Mus musculus: one gene and its partners. The protein of the gene in region 2 binds, or shares a complex with, the protein of the main gene of each other region. Links are inferred from orthologs where the notes say so. Each region holds a gene or a part of one and is shown on either strand. Other genes may lie near its edges.

What was found. The genes of interacting proteins can lie anywhere in the genome.
Region 1: Med13l (region 2) and Med20 share a complex: the UniProt entries of both Homo sapiens proteins name them as parts of the mediator complex. The link is inferred for Mus musculus from reciprocal best matches to the Homo sapiens genes MED13L and MED20.
Region 3: Med13l (region 2) and Med8 share a complex: the UniProt entries of both Homo sapiens proteins name them as parts of the mediator complex. The link is inferred for Mus musculus from reciprocal best matches to the Homo sapiens genes MED13L and MED8.

Annotation. Positions count from the first base shown.
Region 1 is NC_000083.6:47,609,094-47,616,715, reverse strand, and holds the start of Med20 (mediator of RNA polymerase II transcription subunit 20), read right to left. Parts: upstream 5,132-7,622; 5' UTR 5,038-5,131; coding exon 5,024-5,037; intron 3,754-5,023; coding exon 3,599-3,753; intron 1-3,598. Other genes in the region: Gm20517 (predicted gene 20517), read right to left, coding at 3,599-3,753, 5,024-5,037; Bysl (bystin), read left to right, coding at 5,545-5,809. UniProt on the Homo sapiens protein: Component of the Mediator complex, a coactivator involved in the regulated transcription of nearly all RNA polymerase II-dependent genes.
Region 2 is NC_000071.6:118,558,071-118,565,898, reverse strand, and holds the start of Med13l (mediator of RNA polymerase II transcription subunit 13-like), read right to left. Parts: upstream 5,181-7,828; 5' UTR 5,114-5,180; coding exon 5,042-5,113; intron 5,038-5,041; exon of another isoform or gene 4,088-5,037; intron 1-4,087. UniProt on the Homo sapiens protein: Component of the Mediator complex, a coactivator involved in the regulated transcription of nearly all RNA polymerase II-dependent genes.
Region 3 is NC_000070.6:118,406,744-118,414,467, forward strand, and holds the start of Med8 (mediator of RNA polymerase II transcription subunit 8), read left to right. Parts: upstream 1-2,593; 5' UTR 2,594-2,637; coding exon 2,638-2,643; exon of another isoform or gene 2,644-2,806; intron 2,807-4,141; coding exon 4,142-4,260; intron 4,261-4,782; coding exon of another isoform or gene 4,783-4,830; intron 4,831-4,914; coding exon 4,915-5,059; intron 5,060-5,608; coding exon 5,609-5,749; intron 5,750-5,920; coding exon 5,921-6,002; intron 6,003-6,883; coding exon 6,884-7,132; intron 7,133-7,724. Other genes in the region: KICSTOR complex protein SZT2, read right to left, coding at 2,420-2,446. UniProt on the Homo sapiens protein: Component of the Mediator complex, a coactivator involved in the regulated transcription of nearly all RNA polymerase II-dependent genes.

The DNA.
Region 1 (7,622 bases), on a different chromosome or scaffold from region 2:
TTGTACCCAACTTTTAAGGTGGGATCTAAGGATACAAACTCAAACTCTTGTACTTCTAAGGCAAGACATTTACTAACTAGGCCATTTCCCTAGCCCCCTAAAGACCCTTTTTAAAAAATATATACATTTACTTGTGTTTTAGGTCAGGGACACATATATGACTCAGAGGTAGATACTTGGGAAAGTCTGTTTTCTCCTTCCACTATATGGGATCTGGGGATAAAGCTCTAGTTGTCAGACTCAGTGGCAAGCACCCAAAAACTGTTTTTACAAGAAGGCCAGGCGTCCGAAACAGAAGACAGGAGGGCTCAAGCCTGTGATTCCAGCACTGGGCGCTGAGTTTGACGATGGATGCGAACTTCCCGAGGACACCAAGTCTCCAAATAATAAGTGTCACATGGAAGCGCAGGCGATCTCAGGAGGCTCATGCAGTATGACTGCCTCAAGTCTGAAGCCAGCCTGGGCTACACAAGACCCTGTCTGACAACAATCAAAAACAGGACTGGCAATAACTCAGTAGGTTAAAGCTCTTGCCACCAAGCCTGACAACCCAAGTTCCATCTCTGGGACCCATTTGATGGGGAAAAAAAAGCCTCAACTTGTGCAAGTTGTCCTCTGACATCTACTCCCTTGTTAGGGTACATATGTATACCCATATGTATATAGGGTATATATGCACATACTCACATGGAATAAAAGTATAGGAAAATAAATATACAAGTCTACTTTTAAAAATGGAAGCGGGGCCTGAGACGATAACTCAGCAAGGACCTAAATCCTAATCCCCACAACCCAGGTAAAGTCTGGAAGGCCACACACACACACACACACACACACACACACACACACACGTTTGTGATTCCAGCATTGGGGAGCAGAGGCAGGTGGACCCTAAGAGTTCACTGGCAGTCAGATATCCAAAATAGCACGTTTCCAGCTCAGTGAGAGGCACTGTCTCAAGGCAATCAAGCAGAGAGCCATAGAAGAAACAAGCGATGGAAAGCATCCAGTGTCCTTTGCTAGCCTTCACCGGTGTGGGCATGCACAGGCTCTTCCACCCTCGATCAAAACAAACCACAAACCACCCATGCACAGCTAATATGGGCAAGTTTAGCAGGTAAAGGTGCCTGCTGCTAAGCCTGAATCTGATCTCTGGGAGGCCCATGGGGAAAAGAGAGCTGAGACTCCAGAGAGCTGGAGTCTATAAACTTCATACCCATGTTGTGGCAAAAACAGCCATGCACATGCATAACACACAAACACACACAAAATAGAGTCTGGTAATGACAGTCTCTGCCTAGCACGCATAAGGACCTGGGTTCTACCCCCAGCATCAGGTAAACTGAATATGGTACTGCTATCTTAGCACTACAGAGGTGGAGTGGAGCAGGAGCATCAGAAACTCAAGGTCATCTTCAGCTACAAGGCAAGTTCAAAGCTAGCCTGAGCTACCCAGAACCTTATCTCATAAAAATCTAACTAATACAAAATAAAACTTTAAAGAGTGATTACCTGAAAAACCAGAAATCTAAGACTTCAGCATAAAATGAAAGGAAAAACACGACTTGAAAGAGGATGGAGAAGTATTTCTGAACAACAGGGTAGGAGAAAAGATGGTATTCATAACATGAACTCTAGCACAGGGCGTGGTGGCGCACGCCTTTAATCCCAGCACTTGGGAGGCAGAGACAGGCAGATTTCTGAGTTCGAGGCCAGCCTGATCTACAAAGTGAGTTCCATCCTATGCCGGGCGTGGTGGCGCACGCCTTTAATCCCAGCACTTGGGAGGCAGAGGCAGGTGAATTTCTGAGTTCGAGGCCAGCCTGATCTACAGAGTGAATTCCAGGACAGCCAGGGCTATACAGAGAAACCCTGTCTCGAAAAACCACAAACTCTAGCGGGGTTAAGGGCATAACAAAAGCCAGGCAGTGGTGGGTGCACACCTTTAATCCCAGCGCTCAGGAGTCAGGAGGCAGAGGCAGTCTGATCTCTGTGATCCCAGCCTAGTCTACAAAGAGAGAGTTGCAGGATAGCCAGGGATACACATAGAAACTCTGTCTCAAAAACACAAGAACAAAAAAAAGAAATAAAAGTCTAACAAGAGGCTGGTGAGATGGCTCAATGGTTCTGACCACTCACTTCTGACAGAACAGAGTTCACCATCCACACTGGGTTGTCCACAAGGGCCTGTAACTCCAGCTCCTTTCTGACTTCCCTCCACAGCACCCAGCCCCAGAAATAAAATAAAGTCAGGTGTAATGATGTGCATTTAGTTCCAGCACTAGGAGATGGATCTCTGTGAATCTGAGGCCACTCCCATCTACAGAGTGAGTTCCAGGACAGCTAGAGCTACATAGTGAGACCCTGTCTAAAAACAAACAAAATAAAATATAAATAAATCCTTTTTTAAAAAAAAAGTGTAGTGATGGGAAGAGGAGAAAGACTGCAGGATTGGGGAGCAATTCAGGGCCTTCCCTGTACTGCCCTGGCCTCTCTGCTGCCCCCTGCTGAATTAGGCAGGCTCTACACTGAACCTCCAACTCCCATCCCTTCTGTCTACACTGCCAATTCACATCTTTCATCGCTTTGAAAATCCAGTTTAAAATATGCCAGCTCTCAGAGCCACTCAAAGCTGACCTTATTCTGTCTCAGGTTATACACTGTAATTACATACCTGGATCATACCACATCAAGTTGTACTGCCTTGAAACTTTGCAAAGGCAGCCAAAGACTATGTGAGTGAGCTGCCAAGATGGCTCAGCGAGCAAGAGCACTGACTGCTCTTCTGAAGGTACTGAGTTCAAATCCCAGCAACCACAAGGTGGCTCACAATCACGCATAATGAGATTTGATGCCCTCTTCTGGTGTGTCTGAAGACAGTAACAGTGTACTTAATAAATAAATCTTTGGACCTGAGCAAGCACGGCCGACCGGAGCAGAGGTCCTAAATTCAATTCCCAACAACCACATGAAGACTCACAACCATCTGTATAGCTACAGTGTATCCAGAGACTATGGGCACTGGGCACTGGATTCCCTAGGACTAGAGTCAAAAACTGTGAGCTGCCATATGGGCTCTGGGAATGAAACCCTGGCTTCTAGAAAACCAGCCAGTGTTCTCAACTGCTGAGCTGCTTCAGCCCCAACACTATTCTTTAATGAAGTAAGTGCTTCCCGTTATTGTGTACAATTCTTGTTTCCTAAGAAAGGTTCTCAGTCTCTAGCCTAGGCTGGCCTTGAACCCAAGTTTAGTTCCCAGTACCCATATCAGCAGAAAGCTCATAACTACCTGTGACTCTAGCTCCAGAGGATCTGATACCTCTAGCCTCCATAAGCACCCACACTTGTGTGCATATAGCCACACACAGGGGCACAAGTGCTTGTACACACACACATTTGAAAATAAAAACAAATCTTTAAACAAATAGATCAAACTGCAAACTGACCACCATAATATAAGATGGACCAAGAACGAATGAGGCCACAAACACATCCTGCCTCAGTCAGGACCGCTACCCTTGACAGAAAAGCAAGCAGATCCATTAACGTAAATACTCTAAGCCATGCTCCTCCCATCTGCTCTCAGCCATCTACTGACCTTGGCTGCCCAGGGTAGAGGCAGCTGTGTGGTAAGTCTCACAGTCCACACAAAATGTCCCTTGTTTCTCTGCTCCAAGCATCTCCAGTTTCTTGGTGAGGAGCTCCACTGTCTGCTGGAGACTCTTGCCCTCAGCCACAGGCATCTGGGACACACTGAGAAACACAACGCCAAGTCAGCAGGGTCCAGAGACACAGAGCTTCTGGCTAAGCCACTCAATTCCCCAACAGGTAACGGATCAGCAGGGCTAGGAGTTACTTAGACATCTCTGATCCCCACCCATCAGTCCCCAAGAGTTCCTGGAACTCACTTGGTAGACCAGGCTGGCCTGGAATTCACAGAAACTTGCCTGACTCTGCCTCCCAAATGTTGGAATCAAAGGCATCAGCCCTCAGATGGATTGCCTGACTCTTCCAAAGGCCCCAGGAAAGGCCCTGTCCTGTATCAACTTACTGCAAACAGGGAAACTGAACTCTAAATGACTCTGCTGTGATCTGTCTTCATTGCTCACAGGCATTCTTTACAGTAGGGTAGAAGTATGAGATGAGGCTCCTAGTGTCAACTGTGGCAAGAGCCTTCCTTTCACAGGGCAGACCTGTGGCCCCTGGCCTCCAAGCTTCTTTAACTGGAAAGAAGCACACCACTACCAAGACTTTTAAGTGCTGAGGCCGAGTACTTTAAAATTAATACCCAGAAAAGCACGGTGCCCAAACCTTACCAACTGCCTTTTTATCAAGTGAGACTTCAAACATGTTTAAGATAAAAGTCAATCAAAACTGTCTGAAGCCCAGGCGATGGTGGCTCGCGTCCGTTTCATCCGTGCGCTTGAGAGGCAGAGAGAGGCAGGTGGATCTCTGTGAATTCGAGTCCAGCCTGTTCTACAGAGTGAGTTCCGGGCCTCCCAAGCCTACACAGTGAGACACCCAGCTCGAAAAATTGTCTCTGCCTGGTACTCCGAACTCCAAACTCCCAACCGCTCCTTTCCTCCTACCTCTGTCACTAGCCCCAACACCTTAAAATGGCCAATTCAAAGTCTGTAACTGCAAGCAAAATAGAAAAGTCACTTTCTCCTCGCGCCACTCTTATCCCTTTCTGCGAACAACTCCTAATCTAGAAACCCTATTTCTAACCTTTGGGTGCTAGTAGCGACACTACAAGGCCTCAAGGACAGGAAGAGGTACCAAGAAAAAGGTACAACTCCTGGCGGGTCCTAGGGATGCGCTGCTCCCTTTGCCAAAGGGGTGTGTCTGGGAAGAGAGAAGTCCCACGCAGTGTCCCCCATCCACACAACCGGAAGACATCTTGGTCAGCCCCCCGAGGAACCGAGAACCTCGGTCAAAATCCCTTTCCCCGGGCCATCACAGGCCCACAGACACCTTCACGACCCTATATGCTCCGTCACCACAGAAGCCCTTCAAGTCCTACCACGTCACTCCCATAGCGAAGGATCAAAAGGTGGCGCCTCCAAACCCTCGAACTCAGAGACTCCAGACCTTCACGCGAACGGCGGCCCCCTAAACACAGGAAGCAGTCGTTGATCGACCGCCGGAAATGCGCAAATACTGAGCGCCGCGGCGACACGCCCACAGGGAGCGCCATCTCTGGTACCCAGTGGTGACATTTCTAGAACGTCATCGACTCGGCTCCGCCCCCAAGGCGTCCAACGGGTTGACAGGACGCCCTAGGCTACTTTCATGAATTCTGGAAAAGGGTGACTTGGACATCCACCTTTCTAATGAGATTACCTGAGAATTTGGGGGCTCCTGCTATAGGTCCCGAAGCTCTTCCTGAGAGTAATAGATGAGGAACTTCCGGCCTCCTAACGCTGGGGGGCACTGTGATCTCTCAGTGGCCTCTTGGCGATCGGAACACACAGCGCAAGCGCAGTATCGGCTTTTTAGCCGGCTTCACACGTGTGAACCTGGTGGGCAATTTTTTCGGCCAAAATGCCCAAATTCAAGGTGACACGTGGGGCCAGCAATCGGGAGAAGCATGCACCTCTGGCCGAGCAGATCCTGGCTGGGAACGCAGTGCGCGCGGGGACCCGAGAAAAACGGCGGGGGCGTGAGGTCGAAGAGGAGGAAGAGTATGTGGGACCCCGGCTAAGCAGACGGATTTTGCAGCAAGCCAGACAACAGCAGGAGGAGCTCGAAACTGACCATGGGGCTGGTGATCGGTCAGCACCACCGCGAGAGCGCGCCACGCGGCTGGGTGAGTGACAAGGGGTGGAGTCGTGAGTTGGGCCGGTCTGACACCCCATCAGAATACTTTACCGGCGTGTTCCTCCACTTCCACTCCTGAATTCCAGAATTCAGAGTTAAGCCAACGAAAAGTGATCTCTCACACCAGTTCTAGCATTATTTTATTTTAGGTTTTTTTCGAGACAGGGTTTCTCTGTATAGCCCTGGCTGTCCTGGAACTCACTTTGTAGACCAGGCTGGCCTCGAACTCATAAAGCTGCCTGCCTCTGCCTCCCAAGTAAAGGCGGGTACCACCACCACCTGGTGGTCTAGCATTTATTTATTTATCCTCTGGGCGTTTGAAGTATTTGTGGACTGCCTGCATAATGTTTTGAGCTGTGTTAAGTTTTTAGGCAGTTTTGATACAGAAATAAGATATTCGTTCCTCCTGATAACACCGGAAGTCTAGCTCAAGGCACCCATTAAATAGAGTTACATATTCCAAGCAGGAGTGGCGAGGCTCACCTGTAATCCCAGCACTCGAGAAGCAAGGCAGAAGACCTTCTTGGCTATATAGTAAATTTCAGATTAACGAGCCCTGTCTCTCAAGAGAGAGGAAAAAAGTGATGATATTTCTATTTAAACAAAAAAGCAGATGAACATTAATTCTACATGGTGGGTATCCCAGATTTCATGTCCTTCGAATAAGACCTGAAAAGCAAGTGGGGACTGTCCCTGTCCCAGCGACAGGGGAGGGGAAACAGTATTGTTTACGGGCTAAAAGGGGGAAGAGGGGTGGGTACTGCCACCTGTCTCACTGGGGAGGAATTGTTGTTCACCTCCCAGTTGCTTAATCTTCCATTCTTATTTCTCCTAAAAAGCAATATTGACACATTTGAACATGGTTTTGGGCCTACAGCAGCTTTTTCTGTTTCTTTTAGTTTTTTTTAAAGTAAGGGCTCATGGAGCCTGGGATGGCATCTAATGCTGTAGGGGAGGCTGACCTTGAACTCCTGATCTTGCCTCTGTTTTCCATGTGGTGGCATGATAGGTGGGTGACACCACACCTGCCCTTAAAATAACTTTTTTTTTTTAACTCTGAGACTGAGTCTCGTTAAGTTGTTCAGGCTGGACTTGAACTTGCTGGGTGACCAAGACAAGGTTTGACGGTCCTTCTGTGGTGTCGTCAGGGAATTTCACTTTGAGGCCATTTGTTTGACAGCTACTTCCAGTTTTTTCTCCCTCAGAGTTCGTCCAAGAAAGCTCACATCTTTATATCCAGTGGTCTACCTGACATCTCCAAGTTGAATACTAGTATCTAACTCTAGTAAGATTGCGTCCAAGCAGGGCAGTGGTGGCGCACGCCTTTAATCCCAGCACTTACAAGGCAGAGGCAGGTGGATTTCTGAGTTCAAGGACAGCCTGGTCTACAAAGTGAGTTCCAGGACAGCCAAGGCTACCTAGAGAAGCCCTGTCTCGGAGAAGGAAAAAAAAAAATAAAAGAAGAAGATTGCATCTAAAACAGAAGTTGTGACTTCCTTCCCAAACTTGCTCTCTGTTTGCTACTTGGAGGTTGTTAGCACATTAGCTCCACTGCTCCAGTCAGAGTCCAGGCTTCCTCTTTCTCACTTCAAAGTAAATCCTGGTGATGTTGTCTTTAGAGTATTTCAGAGCCAGACCACTTTCCATTCACCTGAGACACTCCCTGATTAAGCTACCAGGGTCTCTCCCCTGGATCACTGTGGAAACATCGTGCTTTGAATTCTGTGACCTCTGTGGTCCATTCAGCAGCTAGAGATTGATGGCGTCCTGTCTGGTCTGTCTCTGTTTCAGGTCTGACCACA
Region 2 (7,828 bases):
CCAGGAGGATGTGATCCAGCGCTCAGTAAGGGAAAGTCGGGCATTCCAATAACACAATACTGAGTCTCTAATTCTAAAACTCTAAGCGGGTCCTAAGAGGCAAATGCATGTTTTACATTTTTTGTCTTGTTGGAAAGGGAAGCTACCCCCACAGGCTATCTAATTCACGCTACCTGATTAACTCCCCTCGAAATGCACTGAGTGTTATTTCTTTGCAACAACAAAATTATCTCTAAAATGACCAGAGATCCTGATGCAGGCACCGTCCACAATCTATATCCAGTGCATCCATAGGCACTGGGCGCATCAGAAAGCACGCTGGCAACAGTGCTGGAGAACCTCTTCTCTGTGCTTCTAAGAAATGGTCATAAAGCACAGGTCACCAGTCACACCTACAGTCCAACCACCTTCTAATTTTCATAAACTTTATCTAATCTCTCTCACTGGCCAGTTCCTGTGAGATAAACATGTCATCCTCTTCACAGTACCTGTAGTAGCTTAAATAACAATATTATTATCTTCACTTGAAAAATAAGTCAAAGGCTTCAAAAATATCTAGTCTATCTCTGAATCAAACTTTGATAGGCGAATTAACTATTCATAAAAACCCCATTCAGATCAGCTGCAGCATCCCTGTGCATCCTAAGACAGAGTTCCATCTCAATTCTGTCTTTATTCATCTTAGAGTATAGATCCTCAAAGTGTTTGATGAATACAATTAGCCCACAATTAACTAGGCTAAATTAGCTAGTGAACAAAAAAGATCAATTTTCCATACTAATTAGCATAAGCCACAACTATGAGCTAACAGTATTTAAAGAAATACCTTGAGAGACTTTTTTTCAATATAAATCATCTAACGCATCCAAGACAAAACCACCAGAGTACCTGCTCACACTCAACAAACACTTCCTGTCCTGAACACAAAGAGAAAGCAATGAATGGGTCCAGCCTGCTTCCCAGTGAGCAGGGCAAGGCCTCTGGCACATATGGATCTCAGGTACATTATTTCTCCTTAAATTATGAACTCATCACATGTACAAATGGCTCTTTAAAACGGTCCAGTAAACTGCTACACTATGCCTTAAATTGCTGTCTATTATGTACTTAAAAATATTTACTAGCAATTGGAGGTTAATATGGCAACCATTACCGGGTAGCAATTATTGCCATTAAAAAAATATAAATACTATAAGGCCATGTGCTACTAACAACAAATGCTAAACAGGAAACACATTGGCATATTATAAATATTTTCATTAAAGAAAATGAACCATCATGAAAAAGACGCTTTAAATGTACACTTCTTTTAAATACTAAAACTGCAAACTGGGAAGAAAAAGACCTTGTGCAGTATTTGGGCACTCTGCAACCTTGGCACGCCTTCTTCCCGGTTTCCACTCCACATGCCTCCCCACCAGCTTCTACTCACATCAGCTCAAGTTTTCAACAGTTACAACCACCTTCCTTTTCTCCCATAAGACAAAAGGAAATTCTGTCTGCAACAAATTACCCTAAAAGCTTCAGATACAAAATAAATGGTCCTCAGTAGGACCTTAAGTACTAAAGGGTGTACATGGGTTTTAACTCAGTGAGGATTTACAGCATTGCTCAGCTACCTACAGCCAGGGAGACTTTAAGCAAAACAGACATGAATGTGGAGCAAAAATCTAAAACTTAGAAGTGTCCCCTCCTGTCCCGGTACCCAGCATACTTAAGTCTAGCCTAAAGGGCACCAAGTCACTTTCTCCACATTATCTCAGAAGAAACACACAAAGATACACTGGGCATCTGGAAACTAGGATGTGTCTTCCCTTAAGGGTGAGTTCAGTGCCACAAGGTACACGGTTACATTTTCCAAAAATGAAGATTTAGCACACTTAATTTGATGGCCACCATGAGAAAAGTTTTGTGTCACAGAGGCCCAGCCAGGCATGGATTTCCTGCAGTGGCTACAAATCTCACAGGAGGAAGAGAGAAACAGCACAAGGGCCCATATCACAGCCATCCAATGGCCTTTCACAGGTTAGGGTGGGGGTGGAGACAGAAAAGCAAGAGTAGGAAACAGGACTCCAGGCAGTATCAGAAAACAAACTCAGTCAAAGCCTAGGAACAAGAATCGTAAGAGGCCTGATTGCTCAGTCAGCCTTGCTAAGCCCTGGCGATGGCCTCAGGATCTCAGGAAGTAGTGGGTCGCGTTCCCTCGGGGCTCGGCTCCAGCTTACACCTCCATCCAAGCTAACAGGAGCATGTGGGTGGGTAGTGTTCCAGAAGTGACTATTCTGCACTCAGAAACAAAACTGCAGGCCAAACTTTTCAAAAATACAAAATGCTAGGTACCTAGAGTTCTGACAAAAAAAAAAAAAAAAAAGATTTTGAAAGGATGCCTCTCCTTTGAAATCAACTATTCTATACAATGTTCTTTACGCAATGTATTCTCAATAAGTAAGATAGGTTGCTGCTGTGTGTATGCTCTTCAGAAAAAAATTCTCAATTAAGAATCCGAATAAAGGACTGTTGGCAGTTTATTCTTGGTTTTGGTTTTCCGTGGGTCTCTTTTATTTGGCTTGGTTTTCTAAGAAAGTTTAGGGCTGGAGAGATGGCTCAGGGGTTAAGAGTACTGACTGATCCTCCAGAGAATCTGGGTTCAATTCCCAGCACCTTCGTGGCAGCTCACAATGGTCTCTAATTCCAATCCCAAAGAACCCAGCACCCTCACACAAGCAGGCAAAACAGCGATGCATATAAAATAAAGATAAATTTCTTAAACAACTAGACAGCATTTACCTACCTCGAGGTATCAGGAAATACGTTACATTTTAAAACTAATCTAAGCCATTTCTGCATTTCAATGGAGTTACCCAAAAAAGTTAATTGTACTTTATATTCAAGTCAACTTTTTGGTTTAAGCGGAGAAATACCCAGAATGCAGTCAAAATCAAAGTCCAGAAATTAAAGAAAGAATCCGGACCATCTCATCTCTACCCCATAGATCCCTGAAGCTGAGAGTGGAGCTGTGCAGTCAGCAGGCATGCATTTGCCTGCACAACACACTGTGTATACATTAGCCACATGCACACAGGCAGCACTGCTCTCAGCCTGATGCACAGCAAGTGGGAGCTCTCCCCAGCTAACACCAGCTGACTTGGTTATTTTAATTACCTATAAAAGTGTCATTGCGGTCACCCAGTCACCAAATTGGTTGGGGGGGGGGGTAAATACCGCCTAGTCAATACATTTGCTGATCTATGAAGGTCCCTGAACCTAATAATAAATGACAGACAAGGGAAGGGGGGGGTGAAAAAAGAGACAGAAGTAGTTTTATCCTCACATCAAAAGATCAACGGTAAATTACCACAGGGGTAAAAGGAAGGACCCCCAACTTCTAACTGAACCTCGAAACAGCCTCAGGATAAAATTCGGGGTGATCAGGAATCAGCCTGCTTACAAGAGTGGGAGCAGGGGGACTGTGTCACTCCTGTGTCTTTGTAGGCCAAAATCATGCTTGATTTCTTCATCAGCATGAAAACAGAATGACACTTCCAAAGTTGGCAACAATTCCTCTTTCTCCACTAGTCTCCAAGGGGAGAAAAAGCATCTATGCCACCCATAATTAAATGTAACTAATTACAATTTGAACACTAAATTATTTATCCAGTGTAAACAAGGACTAAAAGGAAATAAAGCTTCTATCTGCAGCAGGGGTTCCAGAAAATAATTTGCAATAAATGCATGCTCTCCAAAAGTCAGCACCCTCCCCCCCAGCACCCTCCCCACCAAAATTGGGCACACAACTAAAATAAGTTGAGTTTTTAAGGCTAAATTAAATAGGCCGTTCAACCAATTTTCCAATTATATTCTACGCTTGAAACATAATTGCCTTACATCTGTTTACAAATCTTTGCTCAATATTTAAACAAATTCGTACTCTCCCGGGCACATAGCTACACACACACAGTAACTCAGGCACAAAGCGCGTATTTAAAGACCATGCACTCCCATTATCAGCGTAAGCGCCGGGTTTAACAACGCGAATGTTTTCAGAGCTAGGTAATACGACCCAATAAAAAGCAAAGATGGCATTTACCACCAAATGTCACTGCCACCGCCAGGAAAGAGTTGCTGGAGCTCTATACATTTTTAATTTCGACGAATCGAGCCGCCGTCGCCCGGTGCCAGGCTTCCAGAAGAACAATTGACACCCTAAATGGTTCGAGATTAAGGCAGGCGATGCACTTCCAAAGCAAAAGTTGTCAATTATCAGAGGCGAGAGCGGGAGAGAGGAGAGGCGAAGGCAGATAAAAGCGATGTTATCAAACCGCCCAGCTTGTTGCTCGTGTGTGTGTGTGTGTGTGTGTGTGTGTGTTCCTTGTTAAAGCAGAGAAAACAGTTTTTAAAGGCAGCGGAGGAGAGCGAGGAGCAGCAGCTTCCTCCACCTTCCGTGGGCTCCGAGCAATGGCTCTCCCGCTCTCCGGCGTAGTAAACCCCGAGAGGCGGGCGGCTGTCCGTGTTTACAACGGCGCGAGCGAGCTCCGGCTGCCAGAGTCCTTTTCCCTGACACCATCGCCTTCCATCAACTGTTTTCGGGCGAAATCGCAGGTGTCATTGTGGAAATATTAAAAGGAAAAAAAAGGGAAAAAAACGGAGAAACAGAGGAAGAGAGAAAGAAAAAATCAGAAGGCAGACGCCGGCGAGTGGGAGAGCAGCCGATCCGATCGGGAGAGAGAGAGAGAGAGAGGACGAGCCTGCAGCTCACCCGCGCCGGCGGCTGCACAAGGCAGAAAAGCCTTCCACATTTCGGGGAAGGAGGAGAAAAAAGAAAAAAAAAGAAAATAAGGGGGGAAGGGGAGGGGAGGGGGTGTGATTGCCACGGAGGTGGGCGCTCCGAGCGCGCCCCGGCGTCCGCAGCGCCCCGACTTCCCCACGCACGTCCACGCCGGGCGCCGCGCTCGCCGACGCCGCCAGGGCTCCGGGAGGAGAAAGTTGCGCGGCGGGGAGGTCGCGCCCCCCAACCCGGGCTCCCCCCCGCCCCGCCACTCACCAGCGAGAAGAGGTTGGAGTGACAATCCTCCAGGCTCGCCCCGTTCGCTACCCAGTTCGCCGCGGCGGTCATGGTCCTCCGCGAGCCCGGCCGCCAGAGCGGGGCATGTCGGAGCGGGCCGGGCCGGGCGGCGGCGGCGGCGGCTCCCGGGCACCAGGGGCGCGAGGCCCGCGCGGGAGGCCCGAGGGCGGCGGTGGCGACGACGGCGACGACGGCGGCGGCGGGGGGCGCGGGCCGGCAACGCCGCCCGCCTCTGTCGCGCAGGGCCGCCGCCTCCGCCTCCGCCTCGCCGCCTCGTCGGCCGCCTTGTTTATCTCCAAGCCGGCGGGCGACTCGCCCTCGGCCGCGCCGGCGCGGGAGGCACGCGAGCCCCGCAGCCGCCCCGAGCCGCCGCCGCCGCCGCCGCCGCTGCGCGAGCCCGCGAAGGGGGGGGTGCGGACGAAGCCAGCGGGCGACCCCGGCAGCCGAGCGCCGTCCCCTCCTTCCTCTTCCTCCCCACCCCCCCCCTCCTCCCCAGTCGGCCGCGCTTCTCCTCCCTCCCCGGGCTCGCTCGCTCTGACAGCAATGGCGGCCGCCGACCGCGGCTCGGCCCGCCATTGGCTGCGGCGCGTCACGTGACGGGCGCCGGCCGCGCGGGGGGCGGGGGAGGGGCCGCGGCGGCGGCGGCGGCGGCGGCGGTGGTGGCTCGCGGGAGGCGCTGCTGAGCCGAGCGAGCGCGGCCCTCTCGGAGCGGGGTGACGGAGCCAGGGAGGGAAGAGAAAGAGGTGCGGGCGGCCGTGGGACGCCGGGGCTGCGTGGACGCCCCGCCCTGGGCGCGGGCGCGCGTCGGGCGCGGGCCGAAGAGGGCCGCGGCTTCCCCGGAGCGGCCTCCGAGCCCCCCTGGGGGAGCATCTCGGGTCCCCGAGGAGCGGCGTGGGCCGGCCCGGCCTGGCCGAGCGAGCCGAGGAGTGTCTCCTCCTCGAAACCTCGCGCGCGACCGCCCGCCGGCCTGCCTGCCGCAGCGCACCGGGCGGAGGAGTAGGACTCAAAGAGACACAAAGGCAGCGAGCGAGGTGCTTGCCCGGGGTCGCGGGATTCGAACCCAGGCATCGGGAAGCCAGGGCTCGGGACTCACTGCCTCCCGAGCGCTGAGCTCCTAAAGCATCCCGGCTGCTGGAGCCCTTGGCGCCCACTCTGTGCGTGCACGCAGGCATTCCTTACATAGATGATCCCAGCGCTCTTAGGTGCCACATTCACACTGGGCTATGTGGAGGGGAGCAGGCCCTTCCTCCAGCTCCAAGCGGTCAATAATAACCAGCATCCCTTCTTCAGAGAGTAATGGGACTGGGAGAAGTGCTGATGCCGGAGACTGCCTTCCAGGACTTTTCGTCGTGGAAATAGAGAAAGGGAGAAAGTTGACTTGGAAAGAGGTAGAATTAGGCAGGCGTATCTCTATGAGTTCCAGGCCAGCCTGGTCTACACACTGTCTCCAAGAAACAAAGGAAGAGTAAAACGCTGGAAAGAGCGGTGGAAGCAAAATAAAGCGGGCACAAATCTGACATATGAATGGAGTTTTGAGACTACCACAAACCTTAAACCCTGGAATGAAGGTGGCCCGAACACATAGGTCATTTCACAGAGTCCTCAGAATCGGGGTGCAATAGCATCCCCAAGGTCCCAGTTACTGAGTGGCTCAACTCCTGAACTATCTGAATTCAGGAGGCTCTGGAGAGGATGCCAGGAGCTGGCTCTGCTACACCTAGCTGTGACCCTGCCCAGCAAAGTTTAACTATGCCTCATTTTCTAATCTGTCCAAAGCAAATCCTAATTGCTGACCTGCTGACCTCAAGCCAAGGTCACACATTTCCGTTAAGATGCTATTGGGGGAAGGGTTACAAGGGGGAGTTGCCCGACACTTTATGCACACATGTGGTATTACTGAGACCTGAGCAGTCAGATGGTCCATCACACCCAGAATCCACGCATACTCATCACACGCGTAGGCAAAAGGCTATGAGCTGGTCACAGTCTAAGCAAGTCATAAGGGGAAGGAAAAGGGGGGTGGGATGCTGCACAGAAGCAAAACCAAACAAATAAGAAACAGTTTACAGGGCTGGAGATTTGGCTCAGCAGTTAAGAGCACTGACTGCTCTTCCCAAGGTCCTGAGTTCAAATCCCAGCAACCACTTGGTGGCTCACAACCACTCGTAATGAGATCTGACTTTCTCTCTTCTGGTGTGTCTGAAGACAGCTATCGTGTGCTTATTTATATATATATAATAATAAATCTTTTAAAAAACAAGAAAAACAGTTTACAGATTAGGAATGCTAGCATTTCTAATAAAATAAATAAAATTATTTTTTAAAAAATGCTCAACTTTATATATTGCTAGGACCAGATATTTGTGTCCCACTTACCATTCATGTTGAAACACTACAAGGGACAGGTTTTCGACATGGTAGTTAGCACGTGGATGAATTCCTTGTCTTGAAATAAGTGCCCTCTGAAGAGACATAGGAAAACTTGAGTCCCCCCACCCCTATCCCCCTTTGCCATATGAGGTCATTACCAGGAAGGAGGCTGTAACTGGACCAAAATGGGTCAATACCTCAGCCTTAGTCTTCCCAGCTTCCAAAATTATACAAATAAGTTTCTGTACTTTATGTCATTTAGTCTACCAAAACTCAGTTAACACAAGCAATTCAAACAGACTCAGGTATACTGGAAGGAAATCAGAAGTTAAGATCACACTGCCAATGTCAGCTTTTACACATGCAGAAGGAAGCAGAGCCCTTGGGTCGTAAGGA
Region 3 (7,724 bases), on a different chromosome or scaffold from region 2:
AGGCCCAGTTGAAGTCTGGTTCACCTGTCAGTTCTTATGGAATCCATCTTGAACCCAGGAATGTTGGTCTAGCCTTCTCGGAAAATTCCCGTTTATCTGATTGCTTGATGGGACCATTTCCAAAACCTCCTAAGCTTTTTTACATTTCAGATGTACTTCACCAGAACCAGAAGGCTGGCTTAATATAATTTAAGCAGGTAGAATGTTTTGCAAAGTGGGATCTGAGCGCCAGCTGCATCAGAATCACCTGAGCCGTTTATTAAAATGCATTATTTGATTCCTGGGTACAATCAGAGACCAACTGAATTCAGAGCTGACAGAGCTCAAGAATCTCCATTTTAACTAGCTCCCCTGGGGATTTTTCCGTATGACTGATTGAGACATTTTTTAATTCAGTTGTGTTTCATAGCATTCACCTCCACATGGAGCTTCAATCCTGACTTCCCTTGAGTCTGATGTGCCTGCCTTTTGAAGCAGTCTGATAAACAAGACAAAGCCAGGCTCTTGGAGTCAAGAGACCTGGATTCTGATGTGTTCTAGTACATGCTAAGTATGTGATCTTGCAGGTTACCCAACTGTCATCTAGGCTTTATTGTAATAGCAAGATAAGGAGATCTTTGCAGGGATACTGACATTAAAGGGGGGAGGGGAGTACAATGGTGTCGGAAGGCTATCACTGATTACGATCGTCGCTGAGGCCCACATACACCGATGCCAAGCTGGATAGTGATGCCAGGCACTGTGTTGCCACTCCCACCCACCCACCAGAGTTTCTTCCTGCTTCTTTAAGACTAAAGACCAAATTATTCTCTTGAGCTTTTTCTAAACCATGTGCTTTCTTCCCACAAAATAACGTCGATACCTCTGCCTCCTAACTATCCGAAGCCTGCCAGCATGATAAACCTTAACCTCTGGCATAACTGCGAGCTGAGCCTTCTCTTTCCCAGTCTCAGCCCCATCACCCACCACTATGGTAAAAGCAGGCCCTTCAGTGTTAAAGGCACCTTGGGGCAAATACTGGCTCTGCATGTTTCTCCATTCCTGAACAGGGAAAGCAAGAATGACAATTTCCTGAGGATTCTACCTGTGTTAGATACTTAGAGAACTTAAACTTCCTGGATCCCACCCATTTGTGGAAGGAGGTTAAATGCCCCACTAAATGTGACACTTCACTTACGCCTCTGCAACACCTATTATAATCCAATGTTCATTTAGTCCCCACAGCTAAGGAGTCTCTGTTTTACCCTCTGCATCCACCCTAACCCTCAGCACAATTCTGGTTGCAGAACAGCACTTGCTTCTTCCTCTCTTTTGGGAGCCTAGCCTCTCTAAACATCACCCTTTCTTCTTGGTATTCTGTTTCTACCCTATTCACTCATAGGGTTTTCATGTGTGTAGTTTATCACATCCTCCCCATACACGGGTGTGTGTACTCATACATTATACATATATAAGATCACACCCGTGTCAGAGTGCACGTGTGCAGGTCAGAGGACAACTTGTAGCTGTAGAGCGAGCTCACCTACCTGGGAGTTCTAGCCCCAATACTAGCTGCACAACTATGCTTCTTTTAATAGTGGCACCTCAGTTTCCTGAAAAGAGGGATGATAATGGTGTTTGCCTTATAGGGTTGAAAGAACTGGTAACAGTAAAGAGCTCAGAATTGTGGCTGGCATACAGTAAGAATTCGACAAGTAGCCATTGCTATTTGTATCGTTACGCACATGCATCAACCTTCCCTCCTACAAGGCTATCCCTCTGGGGTCCTGGACACGCTAGCCAAATTTGGTACCTCCTCGGATCCGCTCGTTCAGTTGGAAGGAGTAGTCCTAAGGTATCTTTGCATGGCATGACACCTCACCTGCTCTGACTTCAGTTGTCTGCTCTGTACATGACAATAAATACTGCCAGATTCCCTGCTGGAGTCTGAATGTCAAAACATACATATAGGGTTCTTTGCATCTAGGGGGTGGGGGGTGGGGTGGGGGGGCGGGTGCCTCGTCTGCCTTTTCTGCCTTAACTTGTGATCCCCAAGCCACATCACAGAACAAATACTTTTATAAAGAAGGAAGCAGGGTCTGTCCTAAGTTAAGACTGGCCAGAGGGTTGTAGGGCTTTGCCAAGAGCACGAACGCTAGAGCGAAATCAACTCATGCTATTGATTGCATTCCAATAGATGAGATACAAAAAACCCCGCAAAGTCGGTCAGCTTCGGCGTGGCACAATGAAAATCCCAACTAATAACCAAAACACGAGTTTTTATCAGCATCACTATCGCTAACAAGTCTGTGGATGGGCGACGAAGATCAGGATGGCATCTGAGTAAACAAAACAGCAACGGCCTCCTTGAGGCTCCGGAGGGTGAAGGCTGCCACACGCCCGCCCTCGGGCCTCGGCCCCGCGCCCGCCCATCCCTCACCTCTGGCTCGGGGCGCTCCGAGGCCATCACACAGCCCTCCCGCGCCGGCCCGGGCCAGGGAGGTTGCTCCACTCCTGACCTCTGACCCGGCTAGTTCTGTACCGGGCAGGAACCGGAAGTTGTTGGGATGGTCCCGTTTTGAGTTTTCTGATTGGTGAGCGCAGCAAGCCGTGCGAGAAACCGGAAAGGGAAGTGGTTGCGCCCGCCGGGCCGCGGCAATGCAGGTGAGAAGCGGGTTGGGCCTTATAGCCGCTGGCGGGAGGGTGATTGGGCTGAGGACACCGGGGAGTTGGGGCTGTGAGCGGAGGGCAGAGGAAAGGCAGCGGAGCCAGAGAGAGCGAGGCCAGCTGCGGGAGGCGCGGGCATCGAGCCCGCTGATGTGAGAAGGTCGGAGGCCCGGGGAGGAAAGGCGGACTTGATTGAGCGTGGAAAAGGATCGTGGTGGCATTTGGGAAGGCTCGGGAAAGTAGTGGGCTGCCGCACGCCTCGATCTAGGCTGTTGGACACAGGCGTCATAAGGCTTCAGAAGGCTAAAGGGATCGTGGGCCTCCAAGGATGAAAACTAAGCTGTTTGTAATTCGAGGCTGTGGGTGGAACCCGGTGTCCAACCCCCTCAGTCACATAGTCAGGTTTGCAAATCAGCTTTGCATCATTCTTCCCGGCTTGTACCTCGTTGCTAAGGGCGGAGAAGTGGGGTAAATAGTCCTCAGATAGTCAAACGGAAACCCTCTGCCGCCTCAGCGTTTAAAATTGTCTAACACTCAGAAACAATGTGCAGGTTTCCTCGCCTTTGTCTTTCATTACTCTTTCATTACTCACTTGGCTTGTTGCATCTGATAAACCTACACTGTTTATGGGTCACCCGAATTATGAAAGAGACACGGGAATATTGGCACAAAGATGCACGTTGACTTTCCAAAGCACCAAATGCTATGGATAAACGGCCAGTTGGGGGACCGGGAAGGGGATTGCAGAGCTGGTATTCAGAGAAAACCTTACAGAGAGGCAACGTGTGAGATTGTCCAGATTGTGTGGTTGACAGTAGCTACACTCACAAGAGGATGACCAGAGGCACCCATGATATAATGAACTTCGGGAATTATTTAGGCTGTGTGTGCAGATAGCACCCCTGTTATCATGGCAAACCTTTCTGAGGTGAACTGAACTTCCTGAAAAAAACAAAACAAAACTGTGTCAATGCCAACACCACAGAGTGACACGAGGGATTCTCATCCACCCAAGGAAAGCAGCGCAGTGACAATAAGCAGTCGTGAGGTAGGCAGGCCACATCTATTTTCCAGAAGAGGAACTGACAAAGAAGAGTGTGCAGAAACCTGAGCACGTTCCTATTAACCCTACTGCAAATCTAAGAGAATGTTGTCTACTGGGAGAGGCAGTGTTTGAGAGCTGGGAGGAGGAGAGCATGGAATTAAAAAGGTGCAAGGCTAAGTGAGTTCGAAGCCAGTTTTGTTACAAAGACAAATCATGAGGTTTCAAGCCAAAGAGAATTAGGTCTGGTGCAATGACCTTCTTGAAGGACCACAGTGTAGGAGGGTTATAGAGGAATCAGTTAGTAGGAGGACTTCAGGCCAGGTGAACAGGTTGAAAGGTCTAAGGGTTGATGCTATCTGTAACCCAAATACCAAGATAGAAAACAATTTAGCTTTTCTGAATGTGTCACGCTCACTTGTATCTGAGTAACCAAACACACTGTTGATGCAGAGGGAGGAGAAGCAGCTTGAGGCATCATTAGATGCCCTGCTGAATCAAGTGGCCGATCTGAAGAATTCACTGGGGAGTTTCATTTACAAGTTGGAAAACGAGTATGACCGGCTGACCTGGTAAGGATTGCCAGGACAAGCTGGGGAGGGATCCATGGGTGGTGGGGCCAAGCCCCCTGGCTGACAGGACATCTCCAGCGATGTACCCATTTATCAACTTGCAAATATCCTTTTTGATTTGGAAAGAACTAGGTTGCCCAACATTGACAAGTTTAGTTTGGCTTAAAGCCTCCATGGCAAGGAAGTAGAAAAATGTCCAGTTTCCCAACCTAGGCTGTTTCTAGGTTTTAATTCTTACGCTTTGGCTTCCTTAGTGAGGAGGCATTTCCTCAGTGGAAGACCATTATAGCTCCATTTATGGTGGCTCTCCTTCCACACATGAGGCTGGATCTGAGATCCAGCCTTCTGGAATGATAGAGTCTGTTACTACATTAGGGAGGAGGCTTTACAGACTTACTACAGTGTAACCACAGCCCCTGTTTCCACTGCTCCCAAACCCAGTCAAACAGTGGGTTGCCTTTTTTCTGTATCTATGTCAAAAATTGAAAGTGTGTTCCTCTTTCCCAATTCCATCTCTACTAGCAAATCTGGTTCTTGCCTATGCCAGACACAGGGCTGCGAGTCTTCGGGGTGAGTCTGAGTGTTGCAGCATTAGGACTTTTAGAGGTTACTTTGTAGGGAGAAGTAACTCTGGTGACTTCTCGCCACCTCCAGGCCCTCTGTCCTGGACAGCTTTGCATTGCTTTCTGGACAGTTGAACACTCTGAACAAGGTCTTAAAGCATGAGAAGACGCCACTGTTCCGAAACCAGGTCATCATCCCTCTGGTGCTGTCCCCAGACCGAGACGAAGACCTCATGGTAAGACACACAGTATCTTGTTGACTGGATCCTCTGTGTGGCCATGAAAGGTGAGGGCTGCCGTCTGGAAGACTTGTTTTTATCCTTCTGGGGTCAGGAGAGTCCCCCTTAAAGAATGAAGTGAAAATCAGGGCCTATCTCACCAAGTCCACGACCTTCCTTTTCCAACATCTATGTCAGGCAAAAAGAAAAAAGTCTGTCCTGCTTGCCTGTGACTTTGCTGCAGTCTTTAAAATGTGGGGTTGAGAATTTAGCTCAGTGGTAGAACAGACACAAAGTCCTGGGTCCCCAGAATAGGGGTGGAGGTAGAGATTCACAAAAGACCAAAACAAAACAGCAAAAAAAGACAATTTCAGTGTGGTAGTGGAGGGTGGGATTTAGCTCACCCTAGTTCTGATGGAGTGAGTGAGTGAAAAGAGAGTGTCACAGAAAGCTATCCCTACCTCCGGTTGTGTTGTCTCTGGAAATGCGTTTTCTGATGGAAGGGAAGTGGGGTTAGAACTGGCCTACTTGGATAGCACAATAGGATGAATCCAATCTATATTACAGCGTCAAACTGAAGGACGAGTGCCTGTTTTCAGCCATGAGGTCGTTCCTGACCACTTGAGAACCAAGCCTGACCCTGAAGTTGAAGAGCAGGAGAAGCAGCTGACAACAGATGCTGCCAGAATTGGTGCTGATGCAGCTCAGGTTGGACTGAGTCACTGGCCTGCTACCTCATCCTCATCCTTCATAAGCAAGACTTTACCAAGGCTGTGTAGGGGTGTGGGGTTGCTCACAGCTAGGCTGCCTGTGGAAGAGCACAACGAAGATGCTTCCCTGAATCATTGCTAATCACTAATCAATTCATGTGTGTTACAGAAGCAGATCCAGAGCTTGAATAAAATGTGCTCAAACCTTTTAGAGAAAATCAGCAAAGAAGAACGAGAATCAGAGAGCGGAGGTAAGGAGGGATGTGGCAGCACAGAGCGAGAGCTGTGTAAGATCACAGCACAGAGGGAGAGCTGTGTAAGATCACTAAATAGCAATGGCCTGCCCAATTGTGAAGTAAGGACATAAGAATGAACTGCTGGGGCTGGAGAGATGGCTCAGTGGGCAGAGGTGCCTGTTGCCAGGTCTGGCCTAAGTTTGATCCCTGGGACGGACCTACATGGTGGAGGGGGAAAGCCAACAAGTTGTCCTCTGACCACCAACACAAAATTAGAAGTTACTTTAAAAAAGAAGAGTCGGCTCCCCTCCTGAGCAGAGGCAGCCACCCTCTCCTGTCTTTCCCAGTAAATCTCTAGTGTGGGGTTTGTTGTGCCCTGTGACTTCGTAGTGGTCCTTGGCTCCTGAGCAGGAGGACACCTTTCCTCTCAGGACCAGAACACATTGGTGCCATGACTTGTGTAGGCTCTCATGGTGCCTGTGCTTCCCCTTGGGGTCTGAGCCACGCTGGGGGACATGGGAGCAGGGTGGGGGAGAAGAATGAACCGGTGAGAAAGGGATTTGTCTCCTGTTAGTAGTTCATCTTTACGACTATCCTTAAAGCACATAGAAGAAATAGACAAAGTAAAAGTTTAAGGCCGGGCGTGGTGGCGCACGCCTTTAATCCCAGCACTTGGGAGGCAGAGGCAGGTGGATTTCTGAGTTCGAGGTCAGTCTGGTCTACAAAGTGAGTTCCAGGACAGCCAGGGCTAAAGTGTTTAAGATAGGTTTGGGGACTTTTAGCTCTTTGATGGGGCTAGGGGGATTCTAGATATTGCTGCAGTCATAATTATAATGGGTTTAGTCCAGAGCTGGACACATACCTGAGGGCTCTTGCTTTTTTTTTTTTTTTTACAGGTCTCCGGCCAAACAAGCAGACTTTCAACCCTGGAGACACCAATGCCTTAGTAGCAGCCGTTGCCTTTGGGAAGGGGCTATCTAATTGGCGACCTTCAGGTAGCAGTGGTCCTGGGCAACCCGGTCAGCCAGGAGCTGGTACAATCCTTGCAGGGGCCTCAGGATTACCGCAGGTTCAGATGCCAGGTGCTCCAAACCAGCAGCAGCCAATGCTCAGTGGAGTTCAGATGGCTCAGGCAGGTCAACCAGGTAAGGTGACATGGACTGAGTGCACAGGAGTGTGGGAATGAGCTAGATCATCTAAGCCTCCTTCATCTGCACCCTCCCCTTAGACCTGGAGATTTGCCTCCTTTGCTTTGTCACCTCGAAAACAGTTGAAAGCTCTGCAACATGTACCAGTGCGTGATGAAGGACCCTGAGTAGCAGCAGCTGGTGTGGCTGTTTACGTCCATCGCAGACTTTGCCTCACCTGTCCTGTTGATTCTGGGTGTCAGTGTGTTAGAGAAATGAGAGGCCAGCCCTTAGTCAAGACCGTTCGGTAGATAATCGCAGATTAACAAGCTGGCAGTTCTGCGGACCTTCATGGGTCCTTCCCCGCACCCTGGCCCTAGCTCCCTGCCCTCTCTCACGCTCGTTTTTATTTCCTGTGAGAGCAGTCTGGTGGGGTTCATGGAAGCAGTTCATGCGGGTAGGCTGTCTAGGGAGAAGTACATCTGAAACAACTGAGAACACAGTACCTCTGCCCTGAAACAACTGAGAACACAGTACCTCTGCCCTGAAACAACTGAGAACATAGTACTCCTTCCCTGGGACCTTAAACGGGGGCCACACGGCTTACCTG